Linked DNA regions of Oreochromis niloticus. The protein of the gene in region 1 purifies or fractionates together with the protein of each later gene. This does not show direct contact. Links are inferred from orthologs where the notes say so. Each region holds a gene or a part of one and is shown in the gene's direction. Other genes may lie near its edges.

Evidence for each region.
Region 2: the proteins of wtap (region 1) and ddx39b purify together in Homo sapiens (affinity purification with mass spectrometry; 3 studies listed by BioGRID and IntAct, with this or other methods). This does not show direct contact. The link is inferred for Oreochromis niloticus from reciprocal best matches to the Homo sapiens genes WTAP and DDX39B.

Annotation. Positions count from the first base shown.
Region 1 is NC_031980.2:12,346,440-12,354,668, forward strand, and holds the start of wtap (pre-mRNA-splicing regulator WTAP), read left to right. Parts: upstream 1-5,144; 5' UTR 5,145-5,349; intron 5,350-5,923; 5' UTR 5,924-5,931; coding exon 5,932-5,961; intron 5,962-6,088; coding exon 6,089-6,144; intron 6,145-6,242; coding exon 6,243-6,301; intron 6,302-6,454; coding exon 6,455-6,582; intron 6,583-7,599; coding exon 7,600-7,778; intron 7,779-8,229. Other genes in the region: sod2 (superoxide dismutase [Mn], mitochondrial), read right to left, coding at 1,825-1,970, 2,084-2,263, 2,713-2,829, 3,034-3,239, 3,858-3,886. UniProt on the Homo sapiens protein: Associated component of the WMM complex, a complex that mediates N6-methyladenosine (m6A) methylation of RNAs, a modification that plays a role in the efficiency of mRNA splicing and RNA processing.
Region 2 is NC_031985.2:37,864,425-37,871,740, forward strand, and holds the start of ddx39b (DEAD (Asp-Glu-Ala-Asp) box polypeptide 39B), read left to right. Parts: upstream 1-4,166; 5' UTR 4,167-4,300; intron 4,301-6,626; 5' UTR 6,627-6,636; coding exon 6,637-6,859; intron 6,860-7,316. Other genes in the region: polr1h (DNA-directed RNA polymerase I subunit RPA12), read right to left, coding at 3,671-3,788. UniProt on the Homo sapiens protein: Involved in nuclear export of spliced and unspliced mRNA. Component of the TREX complex which is thought to couple mRNA transcription, processing and nuclear export, and specifically associates with spliced mRNA and not with unspliced pre-mRNA.

The DNA of each region.
Region 1 (8,229 bases):
CATTAATTAACTTCAAGCACTTAATTATCAAGCATCTCTAAATATATATACATATACAGTGTATATTTTCTGTATATTTCATTTGTGAAATAGGAAATGAGTGCAATTTTATTGTATATAAAGCAAGAACAGAGTTGGTACATTTCAATTCTATTAAAAGTTCATATTTGGTGTGATCACCTTTAGTCTTTAAAGTGGTCTGAACTCTCTTTGCCATGTTTTCTTGTCATTTCTTTAGTCTTCAGGAAAAGTTCTCCAGACTTTTTGAAGGAAAGCTCTTGTTTGGATGCTGGCTGCCTTTTGTTCTGTTCTCTGTCAGGATCACTCTACAATGCTTCAATAATGTTGAGGTCTGTGCTCTGGGGAGGCCAATGCATGACTGATTGTGTGTTTTCCTATCCAGCTATGCTTTTACTATATTGGTAGTGTGTTTGGGATCATTGTCATGCTGAAAAATGAAGCCATTGCCAATCAGATGCTTTCCAGGTGGCAGTGCACGGTGGATCAAAATCTGTCTTTTCTGCATTTATAATTCCATCAGTCTTGATAAGATCTCCAACACCACTGACTGAAGCTCCAACCATGATAGAGCCTCCACTGTTTTACAGATGGCTGTAGACACTTACTGTTGTACAGGTCTTTAATCTTTAATTACCTCAGTGTTTTCTCCCCATGGAAAGCCATCCTTCCACTGAGACCATTTCTGATTAAATTTCCGTCAAGAGCAAGTGGCTTTGTTTTGTTTTTGTCCCTACTCACATGAATTTCAGATAGTAGTCATCCTGTCCAGTTTTCATTGAACCAAAACCCACAAAGATTTGGCTCTTTGTAAATTAGTTTGCACAGTCCTGTATACACAGCAGGAGCCTAAGCACAAATGTTAAGGGAACACTGCCCTCTTCTGGGAACATTGTAAATAGCAGCAGTATGACCAGATGTAGGCATAAAACCTAAGATTTTTCAGCTTGACAGAATCGTGAGGTTTATGTGACCTTTGTTAAGAAATCAAGGTACTTAATGCCTGGATTTAAATCTTGATTGGACTGAACTCATCTTGGGTGAAACTTTAAAGTATTAGACAGGAGAGGAGAAAAAAAATAAAACCTACACACAATACAATGTTGACATCCATCTTTTAACACCAACTGAGCTAAAACGCATTTGAAAACATGAGCCTCAGTGACCAGTATTCAACACTGCCCTATAATGGGGCCATGAGGATTTAAACTAAATAAAGTATAGAACTGCATTTTTAACTCCAGCTTCTCTTATAGCTTAGAGGGGGGGGGAGAAAAAAAAAAGAAAAAAAAAAAGTGAAATTTTAGAATCTTACAGGTAATGAAAAAAGGAAAGAAAGAAGAAGAATCAAGCTTTTACAACTGTTTTATTACAATTTCTGATTTTTATTATCATACAGCAAATACAAGGACTGCAATAACATTGTCTGATTTTAGTGTGGCTTAACCTGACTGAGACAGCTATCTGAATATGCACTCGTGTTATCTTACACCTGGTATGCCACTCATAAGATGTGAGAATGGCAAAAGCCAGCTTTGATGTTAAAGTTGTCCATTATTGTGCGCTTTCAAAATTACTAGCGGTTGAGAACAGACCAGAGATAAACAGTACTTGCCCGCTAGCTTCAGCTTTTTCACGTACAATATATGTACCAAAAAAAACAAAACCCAAAATTATTTTAAAGACAGTTTAAATGCCAGTTACGTCTGAAGGTTTGAACTGTCATAAGTCTGATTTTTTAAATTCTGATTCAATGCAGGCAACTACTGTTTGATCCAAGTCTTAGTGGTTGCTGTGCATCAGCTTCTACTTTTTGGCCATCTGAAGACGCTCACTCACGTTCTCCCAGTTGACTACATTCCAGATAGCCTTCACATAGTCAGGTCGCACATTCTTGTATTGAAGGTAGTAAGCATGCTCCCATACATCAATACCAAGGAGGGGAGTGAGACCTAAGTGCCAAAAAAATACATACAAAAAGGCCATGTGGCAGTTAGATGGCCAAGTCGCATTTATTCAATTTAGTTTTATTTATATGCACCAAATCACAAAAAGTCCAACTGACCTGTTGTCCCCTGCAAAGGATCCTGGTTAGCACAAGCAGCAATGCGAAGTCTTCCACTGTCCTTGTCAAAGCCAAGCCACCCCCAGCCTGAGCCCTGTACAGCCACCGTAACAGCAGACATCTTCTCTTTCATCTTCTGAAAGGAGCCAAAGTCCCGTTTGATTGCCTCCATTAGCTCTCCTACAAAGTTGTCAAACAGATGTGTATGCTTCAGTGAAATGGCACAACACATAAATTTCTTGGTTGGAGTGTTTTCAGTGAAAGAAATGTTGCACTTATCCAAGTGATGATACAATTCGGTGACTGCAACCATTCCCCCAACTCTGAATAGTACTCATGGCCACTGATCAAATTTCATGACAATTTCCATATTAACAAAACTGAGCTTTAAGCCAGTTATTAGGAAATGGTGCAATTTTCAGTCATTATGTAACACTAAAAAAACTCTGCAACCATATGAATCAACTTTTCAGCAAGTCATAAAATTAAGTTGCACATTCAATAAGAGTCAGCATGTCTCAGAGAAAAACCAAGTGATCTGATTAAAGACAAACAAGTTGATTGGCCATGAGTTGTCTTAGTCTGGTCATATACCGTTTTTTGTATTTTTGTGGATTTCTCTGTCTTACCTTGTGGTTCACCTCCACCATTTGGAGAGAGATTTGTCCAGAAGATGGTGTGGTTAATGTGGCCGCCTCCATTAAACTTGAGGGCAGGCTGGAGAGCAACCTGTGTTGTCACGTCTCCTAAAAATGTAAGTCAAATATACACAACATACAGCTTCTGTCAAACTCTTACACATTTATGTTTGGGGGAAAAATCTTTAAGGAAAAAAACTGTAACGTACATATCAGAATCTTAATTACAACTTCATATAGACAACTACTTTTAAAGTCTTCATTTTCAATTAGAGTCATGTGAAGTGAAATATCATGCGACTCTGCCCATACCCTTTGCAAGAGCCTCCTGATACTTCTCTTCTGTAACATTTAGGTTGTTGACATATGTAGCATGGTGCTTGCTGTGATGCAGCTGCATGATCTCTGCACTGACGTAGGGCTCCAGGGCACCATAGTCGTATGTCAGGTCAGGGAGAGTATGCTTCTGCCTCGATGCAGCTACCTTGCTAATAGTGTGGCTGAGGCTGGCTGCACACCTGAAAAGAAATAATGAAGTAATACAGCATGAAATAAGGCATGACATCATGAAAATGTCATGACATCAGCAAGAAAACTGTAATTCAGTTATTTAGGGATACAGAAATTGAGATGTACCAAACAGAACTACTTTTAAACTATAGTTTTCTTATCAAAGAGTAATTTGCTAAGGAGCTATTGACAGGGCTGTGCAACTAAGCCGTACCAAATTACTTCCCTGCAGGGTATCAGAGGTAGGATTTTTAGCTTACTTAAGCAACTGACCTAAATGTCTGTTGTTGATACTGGATTTATGCAGCTCTTGAAGCACAGTCATCTACATATTAGTTCACTGAACACATGATACTGGCTCAATATTAAGACATTCGGTTCATAACTTCATGCACGAGCTCATAACAGGATGATTACGCGTTTAATAAACAAAACCCTGTATTTAGTGCGCCATAAGCTAACCTAGCTGAGCTGCCAGTTAGCATTTCGGTTAGCTAACTGCTAGCTATCAATAAGCAACTGTCACGTTCAAGAACAACTGCTGCTAGCAGAAGTCAAGAGCCCCGATTCCGTATGCACTCTGAGCACAGTACACGCACCAAATACTCAAGTGACAACAATCTTACCTGCGTATTTGTCCAGCTCTGCAAAGCATGTTCCTAATGCTGTTCAATGGACAGAATGAAGGAATACACACGCTGATAACAACTGCCCTTGAAATGTGCAATTTCAAGTTGACAGAGGAGGCGACCGTACCATTACATCTATGCTGTGGGGGTGTCCGGGAATTGGATAAACACAGGAGTCAAGCGGCTACATGTGACAACGACACACATTATTAGAGACACTTGGCAGATGAGAGAGACTGTATTAAAAACGCATCCCGATACTCTGGAATAATAATAAACAAAGCTCCTTACCTTCTGTATTATTTTGCAACTCCTCCCTCTAGTAGGTTTTCCGTAGCTTTAAAAAAGTGCATTATATCACTGTTATGAAAAAAAAAAAAAAAAATTCTTCTCGTATATTTCATTTATTGTAAATCTATTCACTCTGTTTATTTATTGCAAAACAAAGCATATATTTAAAGGAGTAGTTCTTAATACATAATTAATACAAGCATAATTAAAAAAATAAAAAAACTAACAGCAGAGAGTCACGTGAACGTTCTCCCCACAACAGTGGAGGCAATGGCGGAGATCGTCTATATTAAAATAATGGCGCACTAAGAAGCAAACAACGCTTGCTTAAAAGGGAAAACCCTCAGGTTTGAATTCAGAACACGGTGTCACTTCTGGTGGACACTAAACTGAGAACAATTCTAGCATGCACCAGAAGTGTCAACTTCATGGAACAACAGGAAGTTATTTCTGCAACAGAAATAAAAAAGAAAATATGGCTTATTATTTCACAATTTCGAGTTATTTTTTAGTCTTTTTGAAGTCTACATTTCAAGATCCTAAAAAGAAACACTTCTTTCTTCAACAGCAGAAACAAGTTTCGGTACAACTCACAGTCGATGATGCACCAAAGGCTAATGTCAAGGCACACTAAGGATTTCTCTACTCTAGATTTCTTTTATGAATTAATTCAAATAATTATGTTTATGAACACTCATAATAATTAAAAAAGTATTTCTTCAAACTACTCCTACCAATAGTACAAAAGGGGGAGCTTTGTGCTGTGTATATATTTAAATACATTTGTTAACATAAATACATTAGTTAATAATTAAAAACATCCATTCATACAAACTAAGGCTAAAAATAATACAATAAAAATAGCAATGCGGGGATGAATTCATCAAAATCACATAAAAAATATCTACTGTTTACTGTTATTTGAGGGGTACATTTTATGATCTTAAAATCGCTGCGGAGTGAGAGGTCTCGCTCTTTGCCTCTATCTGTGCTAGAACTCTGCAGTAAGGCAAGTGCAGCGCAGCGCCCAGCTACAGCCATTCTGTTTAGTCGACCGCGAGGAAGATGCTGTTGACCACGCCGAAGCGAGACGACTACAAATAACTTCCCCATAATTTTTAACCAAGTCGCAGGTTCTCGTTTCACAAAGAACCCCTGACACCAAGAGGATCCAGAAACATCGAAAGAAACTGATCTGGTAAGTGATTTTTCTTTGATGGCTGAAGGCCCGATATCTGCCACCCAGAGCCCGCTAGTTTCAGGAAAAGGAGTGCTAGGGAGGGAGTCATTTCCTTCACCGCCATTTTGTGATAACAAGGAGCGGAAAACAGATCCAAGACTTGTATGCTGCCAGGCTGGACATAGGGAAATAGTGAAGCTCGGTACTGCTGTTTCGTTACGTGTAGTTAGTTTGCTAACGGAAACAGCTAAACCTTATTAGCAGCCCAGTGTTAACCTTGGTTAGCATATTTTCCATTTCTCGCGGTCCGTTGCTGCTGCTGCTTGTCACACGAGCTAACACAAGGCTCGGCTGCTCTTATAAACTGCTAATATTAACTTTGATTTGGTTTTGCGGGATAGTTAATGTGTTCCTCACACACCATCAGGGTCATCTATTAGCTGAAAGGCACAGCTTTTGTACCGAGTTATCAGAGTTGCTGTACATTGTACTGCGTGTTGATAGCCATCGCGTTAAAACATGATGCAGTCCTTTAAGCACACAACCCCAAGCTGTAATTACTGCTGATTTCCTGTCGTGTTTTTACTTACAGGGTTCACAATGACCAACGAGGAGCCTCTACCCAAGAAAGTGAGTTTCTTTTCTTATTCTAATGTACCCCTTGTAATTTGTTATGTGTCACGACCCTGCCCACCACCCTCCAAATATTCTAATGGGTTTCTTTATGTAACCAGTGCTTGGGTTTTCGTTCACACAGGTTCGCCTTAGTGAATCGGACATGAAGACTCTGACCAGAGAAGAGTTGTGTGCAAGGTAGGTAACAGCTCTGCTGTTGGTGATTATTTTGTGGTAGGGGGAATTTGGTGTTTGTGTTTTGGATGAGCAGCTAAAACATGTTCTGCCCATCACAGGTGGAAACAGCATGAAGCCTATGTCCAGGTCTTGGAGGCGAAATATGCGGAGCTATGTTGTAAGTACACCTGCTATAAGACACGGTTATGATTTAACCTTGTCAGCATCTCAACAATCACCATGTTTTTGCCCGGTGCTGCTGTCTGTGGCAGTCAGTGAAAGGAATTTTTCTGATATGTTTTGCATTTCTGCACCGCTTTTATCGCCTCAGCCAATGACGTTCCAGGGCTGAAGGAGTCGGAGGAAAAGCTCAAGCAGCAGCAGCAGGAATCCGCGCGGAGGGAAAACATCTTGGTCATGCGACTTGCCACCAAGGAGCAGGAAATGCAAGAGTGCACAGTATGTATTTATTCCTCTAATTATGCTTGACATTCAGTTTCCATTAGTACTACAGTTTGAGTACTTGATATAGTTCTTATAGGAATATAGCCCTTCTAACATAATGTTTAAATGAGCTTTCTTTCATTAAGATTTCACCAAAAAGAACATCAGTAACTTTGTGAATGAGTAATGATGTTACAGGTTGCTATTAAACATGTCAAAACTGGGTAATTATTATGCTAAATTCTAAATTTAATAATACAAGTTTTCAAAGTGCAAAATAATTTAACTTTATTACTAAATTTAAATGAATTGAATAATTTGCAACACTCCAGCAGAGAGCTTTCCTTAGTAAACTGTCATGATCATGGAAAAGAGGCTAAAAGTAAATTATTTCAAGCCAAGGCATCCTTTGCTCTTGCCAGATTGACAGCTCAGTGGATCAAACAGCTGCTTTATGGTAGCACATGCCATTCTTAAAGTGCAGCTGAGGTGAGCTCAACGCACAGGCTTTAAACTTGGAAACCCTGCAGTCACATTGAAATGGAAAGCATGGGGACACAGTTTTCAACAGAAATACCAGAATTTTAAGCTAAATGTGTTTGAGACACACACACACACACACACACAAAAAAACAACAACAAAAATGGTTGATGTCATCATAACTTTGGCAGGTGAGTTTCATTTGTTTTGGACCAGTCTGATCTCCCCGGGCCTGGAAAGGCAACTGTCAAATGATTGGAAGTAATTGTCACTTAGAGATTTTGTCTTGAAAACTTTGTAGATGGTAGGTACCAAGTGTTGCTCTAAGGTAACATGCTTAAATTGTTTGAGTCCACATCTTTAGATAACTTTAGCAGAAAAGTTGCCATCAGAAGATGGCGATTTCCAATTTTACACATTTTGTTTATTTTTTAAGAGGAAAAACACGGCTACTGGAGATCAGAGCCAAACCCAAGAATTTTCTCTTGAACCATGATAAAACACTTGTTTATTTGTTCCTGCCAGTCACATGTGTTTGTTGTATCCTGCAGACGCAGATCCAGTACCTCAAGCAAGTCCAGCAGCCGAGCGTGGCCCAACTGCGGTCGTCCATGGTGGACCCATCCATCAACTTGTTTTTCCTCAAAATGAAGGCTGAACTGGAACAGACTAAAGACAAACTGGAGCAGGCCCAAAATGAACTGAGTGCCTGGAAATTTACACCTGATAGGTAAAGACAATCAAAATAATCCCCCTCAAAAAAACAAAACAAAACAGAAAAGTCAAGACTTCCTCACGCCCCCCACCCTCACTCTCACTGCAGACATGCAGGAACAATGGTGGGGGGGAAGGCTGACAAAGTGCTGTACTCACCACGAGATTCAGACTTTACAGAAAGCCAGTCACTCCAAAAAAAAAAACAAACCCCAAACTGTTTTTGTACTCTTGCACTGTGCCAGCTACATATCACATAACCTAAAGAGAAAAGACAGTATGGTCAGGTGACACTTGTGTTTCAGCTCTCTCCCCTCGAGTTCCCCTCACCGTCCAAGGGCCTGAAGGAGTCCGGACTGTTCCTGAAGAGGTGGTCACTCGCTTCCCGACGTGGATATGGCCTCCCTGCCCCCGCCGCTCAAACCAGACAGTTCACTTATTAAATAGGGGGGTTATGGTGGAGGTAA
Region 2 (7,316 bases), on another chromosome or scaffold:
CTCCTTCAGGTCCCAAAGTCAAACGAACACTGCAGCATCACTGAGAGTTAAAAACTGTGTAAATTCTTTCATCTTTAATAAAATGATCAGCGTTGCTGCTTTACCAGGTGTAACAATTAAGCTTAACATCCAGGCATCCATGAAAACAGAATCTATTAAATTCAACGGAGTTAGAAGTTAGCAGGAAGTTAGCTCGCTAGTTTCCACCTAAAAATGATATAACATGTTCTGACTGAGAGATTTCTGAAAAAATTCAAACGTACAGCTCTGCTATCACTTCCAACATAAATGACATAAATTTCCTGTTGAGACAGGAAACTCAACAGCAGTGACTTTTGTAGGGTTACTGAAGTTGGGCTAGCTGGTATATAATGATCTTCTATGTGATCGCTAGCAACACAGCTACGTTAGCATAACATTAGCACAGTGAAGCTGAAGGATGAATGCTAACTTTTTTCCACTCGATAAAAGTTAACGTGAAGGTTCCTGATGGTTAGGGACAAATGCAATCCCATGGCAGGATGCTGTAAACGGACCAAACTTCAGTCAGGAGAACAACTGAGATAATCCATCCACAATACGAGGTTAGTCATTAATATACTGCAACAACATGGGAATAGAGCAGCTGCGAGGGAATTCAGCATTAATGACTCAATGATACGGAAGTGGAGGAAGCGCAGTTTTTGGCTTTCCCCATATTCCAAAAGTGCTTCATCTCTTTGCTATTACTGTCGTTGGCATAATTTGCAGATGATATTGTTTGCAGCCGCTGCGATGCTTTCGACCAAAACAGACGCAGCTTGATGACACCATCAACATGCGCTATTGCGGTAGTGCGGTATAGTCAAAATCTCTACTGTTGGCCAAATTTATATTGTTTCTACCGTATACCGTTTATACCGCCCACCCCTAGGCTCTTGTCTCGTCGACTGCTGCCTCAGATCCTAGTCTTTCTCCTATGTGCTCAGTTGTCTTAGAGCAGTTTGATCCTGTCTCCCTGAATGACTTGAGTGCGGTAGTTTGTAACTTAAGATCATCATACTGCCCCTCTGATTGTCTCCCCCCAAGTTTGCTTAAAAACACTTTTAATACTGTCGGGCCTTTTATCCTGAGATTAATTAATCTGTCCCTTGCTGTGTTCCATCATGCTTTAAACAAGCAATAGTTCAGCCTCTTCTTAAAAAAAAATAACCTGGACCCAACTGTTCTGTCCAATTACAGGCCAATCTCAAAGCTTCCTTTACTGTCTAAAGTTTTGGAGAAAGTGGTCTACTTACAGTTGCAGGCCCACCTTGATTTGAATGTGATTTCTGAAAAAATTCAATCTGGTTTTAAATCATTACATAGCACTGAGACGGCACTTTTAAGGATTTTTAATGATATTCTTTTAACTCTGGACTCTGGTAGCCCTGCTGCCCTTTTATTGTTGGACCTGTCAGCAGCTTTTGACACGGTCGACCATGACATCCTGTTATGACGGCTAGAATTTCATGCTGGCCTAAAGGGATCTGCCCTACAGTGGTTTCGGTCCTACTTGTCAGGAAGGTCTTTTTATGTCAATATGGCCCCCATAACTCCAAACTAGCCCCTCTTAAATACGGTGTACCTCAAGGCTCTATTTTGGGTCCTGCCCTGTTTGCACTCTATTTGTTGCCATTGGGTTCCATCTTCTCGTGTTACAACATTTCATTCCACTGTTTCGCTGATGATTTGCAGATTTATCTGCCTTTAAAAGCAGGGTCTGACCGTCCCCAGCTCTTATTACGCTGCCTTGACGACATCAAACAGTGGATGTCGTTAAATTTTCTAAAGCTAAATGAAAATAAAACTTAAGTTGTCATTTTCGGCAACTTTGTCAATAATCACATCGATAGCACTCTAGGCCCCTTTTCCTCCTATTGTAAAACACATGTAAAAAACCTTGGTGTCTACCTTGATGGTTCTTTTAAATTGAATAAGCAGGTGAGTGCAGTAGTCCAGTTCTGATTCTTTCAGTTAAGACAGCTGGCCAAGGTAAAGCCATACTTCCCGGCTAACGTCTTTGAACGTGTTATTCGCCTCTTCCTTACTTGCAGGTTGGACTACTGCAATTCATTGTATTTTGGTCTCGACCAGAACTCCATTCATTGTCTTCAGATGGTCCAAAATGCAGCTGCTCGCCTGCTAACTGGGACCAAACGGAGAGAGCATATAACCCCAGTTTTAGCTTCTCTACACTGGCTTCCTGTCTCCTACAGGATCCAATTTAAACTTTTACTTTTTGTTTTAAAGTCACTTAACGTCCGAGCCCCTTCTTACCTGTCTGAGCTCCTTTCTGTTTATGCTCCAGGAAAAACCATGAGGTCTAGCTCAAAATTAATGCTTTCCATCCCACGGACTGATCTCAAATCTCGTGGCGATAGAGCTTTCTCTGTGGCAGGTCCCAGACTTTGGAATAGTCTCCCCCTAAATATTAGACCTGCACAAACACTTGATCAATTTAAATCACTACTTTTTATGCCCTGGCTTTTAACACACTATGACCCAAAAATTTTTGTCTTATTTTAATAGTCTTAGTTATTGTTTTAATTATTTTATTGTCCTATCATTGTTTTATATTGTTATTATTGTTTTACATTGTCTCTTTTTAATGGCATTTTTATATTGTTAAGCACTTTGTGCAGCATCGTCTGTCTGGCTTGCTGAAGCATTAAGAGTTCCTTTTACTGGAAATAACTCCTTAAAAACAACCCCACACCATAATCCCCCCTCCACCAAACTTTACACTTGGCTCAATGCAGTCAGACAAGAACTGCTCTCCTGGCTACCACCAAACCCAGACTCATCCATCGGATAGCCAGAAAAAGAGGCGTGATTCATCAGTCCAGAGAACAGGTCTCCACTGCTGTAGAGTCCACCACTGCTTTAAACCACTGCATCCAGCACTTTGCATTCCATTTGGTGATGTAAGGCTTGGATGCAGCTGGTGGTCATGGAAACCCATCCCATGAAGCTCTTTACACACTGTTCTGATCTAATCTGAAGGCCACATGAAGTCTGGAGGTCTGTAGTGATTGACTCTGAGAAAGTTGCCATCCTCTGCACTCAGTGCGCCTCAACATCTGCTGACCCTGCTCTGATTTTACATGCCCCACCTCTTTGTGGCTGAGTTGCTGCCGTTTCCGATCACTTCTGCTTTGCTTACCACTACCAACAGCTGACTCTGGAATATTTAGTACTGAGGACTTGACTGGACTTGTTGCACAGGTGGCATCCTATCACATTACCATGCTGGAACTCACTGAGCTCCTGAGAACAACCCATACTTTCACAAATGTTTGTAGAGGCGGTCTGCATGCCTGGGTGCTTGATTTTATACACCTGTGACCATGGAAGTGATTGAAACACCAAATTCAGTGATTTGGATGAGTGAGTGAATTCTTTTGCCACAATACTGTATATTGAGCTTAGGAAAATACAATCACTTGCTGCAAGAAACTAAAATGATCCAAAGATGGACAGCAGATAGCTCTCAGATAGCTACTCTGCTTTGCCGTTTCATTTGTACAAGCTGTATAAATATCACAGGAATATCAAGATGGAAGTGAAATGAGAAAAACAAAAAGTGAGATAGCAGCAAAATCTCTGCTGCTCATGCTCACACTCGCATAAACTCTGATATGGAATTTACCTGATACAGGGATCCTAAAAGAGCAGCCGGGGCAGCACACTACGTCCGGTATTCCTGGGAGAGGAAGAACATTCCCACACTCTGGGCAGAAGTTGGGACCACCACCAAAACACGACATCTCTGTTTCATGTAAAGTATTATTGTTATACATTTTGATATTATCAATAACTGTAAAATAGTATCGAATAAAAATTTAGACTGACTTATTTTGCTTTGTCGATTCACATTTTAGAGCTTACCTTCCAAAATAAGTTAAAGCGGTAATGTTGTTTTGTTGTCTAACACTCACTGGAGCAAAACACCGCACGTGGCACTTGAACACGTGAAGTGCAGTCGATTAAATCTGTAACTGTCAACTAACGCTGTGTTCAGCTTTCGTCGTCAGCCTTAGGCTTTAACAAAAGACTTTGATGATTTACCGTTTAATGTCTTCACAGGATTGGCAATCTAAACAAGACGCGGTTTATAGCAAAGATTCTCTGTTGTTACTTTCAGCCTGACATCTGCATGGTTACACACCGTCGGGTCCTACAGCGGTTGGTTGTCTGTCGCGTTCTACACGTCATTGTGACGCGCTAACAGTCGCGCTTTACTTTAAACAGCCGTTGACTTTTCTCTCTCGTAGTGAAGGTATGTCGATTATTAAAAGAACTGTAGGCAGTGCACGTTACCAGTACCTGCGGCAACATGACTGTCACCTCTCTGAAGTTTAATGTTGAGCCGTGAGATGTTCCAGTGAGGATATGATGAGTTCTTTGTTAGCCGCTGAGCTAATTGCAGCTAGCTGTTTAGAATACTTGGAATTTGCTTTTACGGTTATTGCTAAAAAGGCCACTCGCTGTGTTTACGTCAGCTGCCGTAATATCAGACGAGCCCGAGTGAATAACAGACATCGGGGATGGTCCCAGTTTTATGGCGACCGTAGTTTCATGTCGGTTATGATCTGCAGTGTGATGAAGAAATCTTAAAGACATATCAGTACTGCTGGATTTGAACTTTCAAAAGTCAAAACATAACTGCGCGTGTGGTTATAGCTATTTAATATTCAGCGACAATAAAAATAAAAGTTCCGGAATATTCCTTCAAAATAGAAGCTCAAAATGAAACCAGGCAATTGTTTTTTAGCACAGTGGACTGGTTCATGTTTTCAACCTGAGGTGGTGGACATCACTGGAGTCCTTATAGAAATTCTAGCCTGCCGTACAAGTTGGTGCCTCATGTTAGACACACCACTATTCTGGCATTTATGCAATATAAATTAATTTTGCAGGGTGGCACAGTTGTTAGCACTGTTGCCTCACAGCAAGAAGGTCCTGAATTCAGTTCCACCATCAGGCAACTCCACTTTATGTGTGGAGTTTGCATGTTCTCCCTGGGTTTTCTATGAGTACTCCGGCTTCCTCCCACACTCCAAAGACATGCAGTTAGTGGGGTTAGGTTAATTGGAAACTCTAAATTGCCCATGGGTGTGAATGGTTGTCTGTGTCTATGTGTTAGCCCTGTGACAGACTGACGACCTGTCCAGGATGTACCCTGCCTCTTGCCCTAAGAAAGCTGGGATAGGCACCAGTGTGACAGTACCTGGTGTTAAGTATTCTGCTTTCACTCAAAACACTTTGTAACCTTTGTACACCTTTTTAGTTCTGATTGAATTCTTTGTACCAACAATTTAACAGAGTGCAGAAAACATTTTCTCAGAGATTGTGGCCCATGTGGACATCATAACATCACACAGTTCCTGCAGATTTGTCAGCTGCACATCCATTGTAGACTGTACTATTTTTACTCATATTTGTTATCATGCTGCTGTAACACAAACATGTGGGATCAATAAAATATGTATTTATCTACACTCATGTTGTTTGTGCTAAATTCTGACCCTCCCATGCAAGTGTTGTAGCAGACTCATCAAACCAGGCAACGGTTTCCAAGCTTCTGTTGTCCAGTTGTGATGATGTTGTTCAAGTTGTAGCCTTGCTGTTGTGTTGTTAGCGGACAGGACTGGCACCTGGTGTGCTCTCCTGCCTCTGTAAGCCCACTTCATTTATCTTATGTTTTGTTATGATGCATGTCTGCAAGTAGCTAAGCAGTTTAGCAGTCTGGCCATTCTCCTCTGACCTCACACATCAACAAAGCACTCCATGGATATTTTCTCTTTTATTGGACAATTCTCTGTAAACCCTACAAAGGGTTTACACTGGATTTGTGTGGGAAAACCTTAGCAGAGACGTTTCTGCAGTACTCAGATTAGGATACAGGGCGCCAATAATCAAGGTGTGTTCAAAGTCACTTAAATCAGCGTTCTCCCCCATTCTACAGCTCTGTTTCAACTGGAGCAGGTCATAGTAATTATCTCTAAACGCCTAAAAAGCAATTCATCATTTCTCAACATTGTTGACATTTTTCAGTGTATTTGTTTTCTCTCCCCTTTTTTCTCTAATTTTTATGTATTTTTTGAGGAGGGTGAAGAATCTTTTTTATTCTTCTCTGCACTATTTTGGTCTCTGTTTATAGTTTGTTTGGTAAAAATAGAAATGGTTCTTCTCTGAAACAGTGATGAGCTGCACATGTATGTCATTCATTTATACACTGGATTGTATGGAACGATGTCCTGCATGTTTCCAAGGGACTTGGAGACCAGGGTTAATGATGTATGTCTAATTGTCAGTATAATAACAATGAAGTTGATTAGGACTTGACTTTGGGAGGGGGGATTGGGCTGCTGCACTCAGAGCATGAGCTTGAGATAGCTAGATTAAGGACATTTGCTCTCACTGACGTCTCCGAACCAGGAGTGAAAAAAAACCTGAAGTCTAAGCTGCTGGCTCCTTTTTGCACACATGCTGACCCCAATAATTATAACTTTGGCCATGTTGATCCTTTTAGCACTGTGAAAGTTTAAAAGCTCTTTGTTCCTGAAGTTTCATACACCACATTTGTTTTTCTCGTTTCGCAGCAGGGTCAGGATGACAGAAAACGACGTAGATAACGAGCTGTTGGACTACGAGGATGATGAGGTGGAGGCCGGAGGGGCTGGAGATGTTGGAGGTGCAAGTGACGTGTCGATAAGAAAGGAGGGGGTGAAGGGCTCTTATGTGTCCATTCACTCCTCTGGATTCAGAGACTTTCTATTGAAACCTGAACTGCTGAGAGCCATAGTGGATTGTGGGTTTGAACATCCGTCTGAGGGTAAGTAATTGGTGCCAGGAGGAAAATGTGGAACTGGTACAACCATTGCTGAATTTAATCACCTTTTTATCTTCTCTCTGTATTTGAAGTGTCTGATAAAGATTAATGTCAGTTCCTCCTTTAACAGAGCTGTGGTGGGTTTGTGTTGGCAATGGTAATTTTAGTTACATAGCACATTTCATTATGCTCAAACTCGATGTGCTGAACACAGAAGATAAAAACATGAAAATCTGTGTAGGTTTATGTGGTGGGGCGTGGACTGCGGTGCCGTGCGGATGCACCTGCACAGCATCCGCAATCACGCTCACCGTGTTAAAACATGGGGACTCAGGGGTTGGTGGGGTTGTGGTGGTGTGACAAATGTTGAATAAAGATGGCTCAAAACACAGATCTGCGGTCCCGCCGTGCCTTAATTCCACCACACTGGTGCCGAAACCCAGGACGCGGCGGGGTGCGT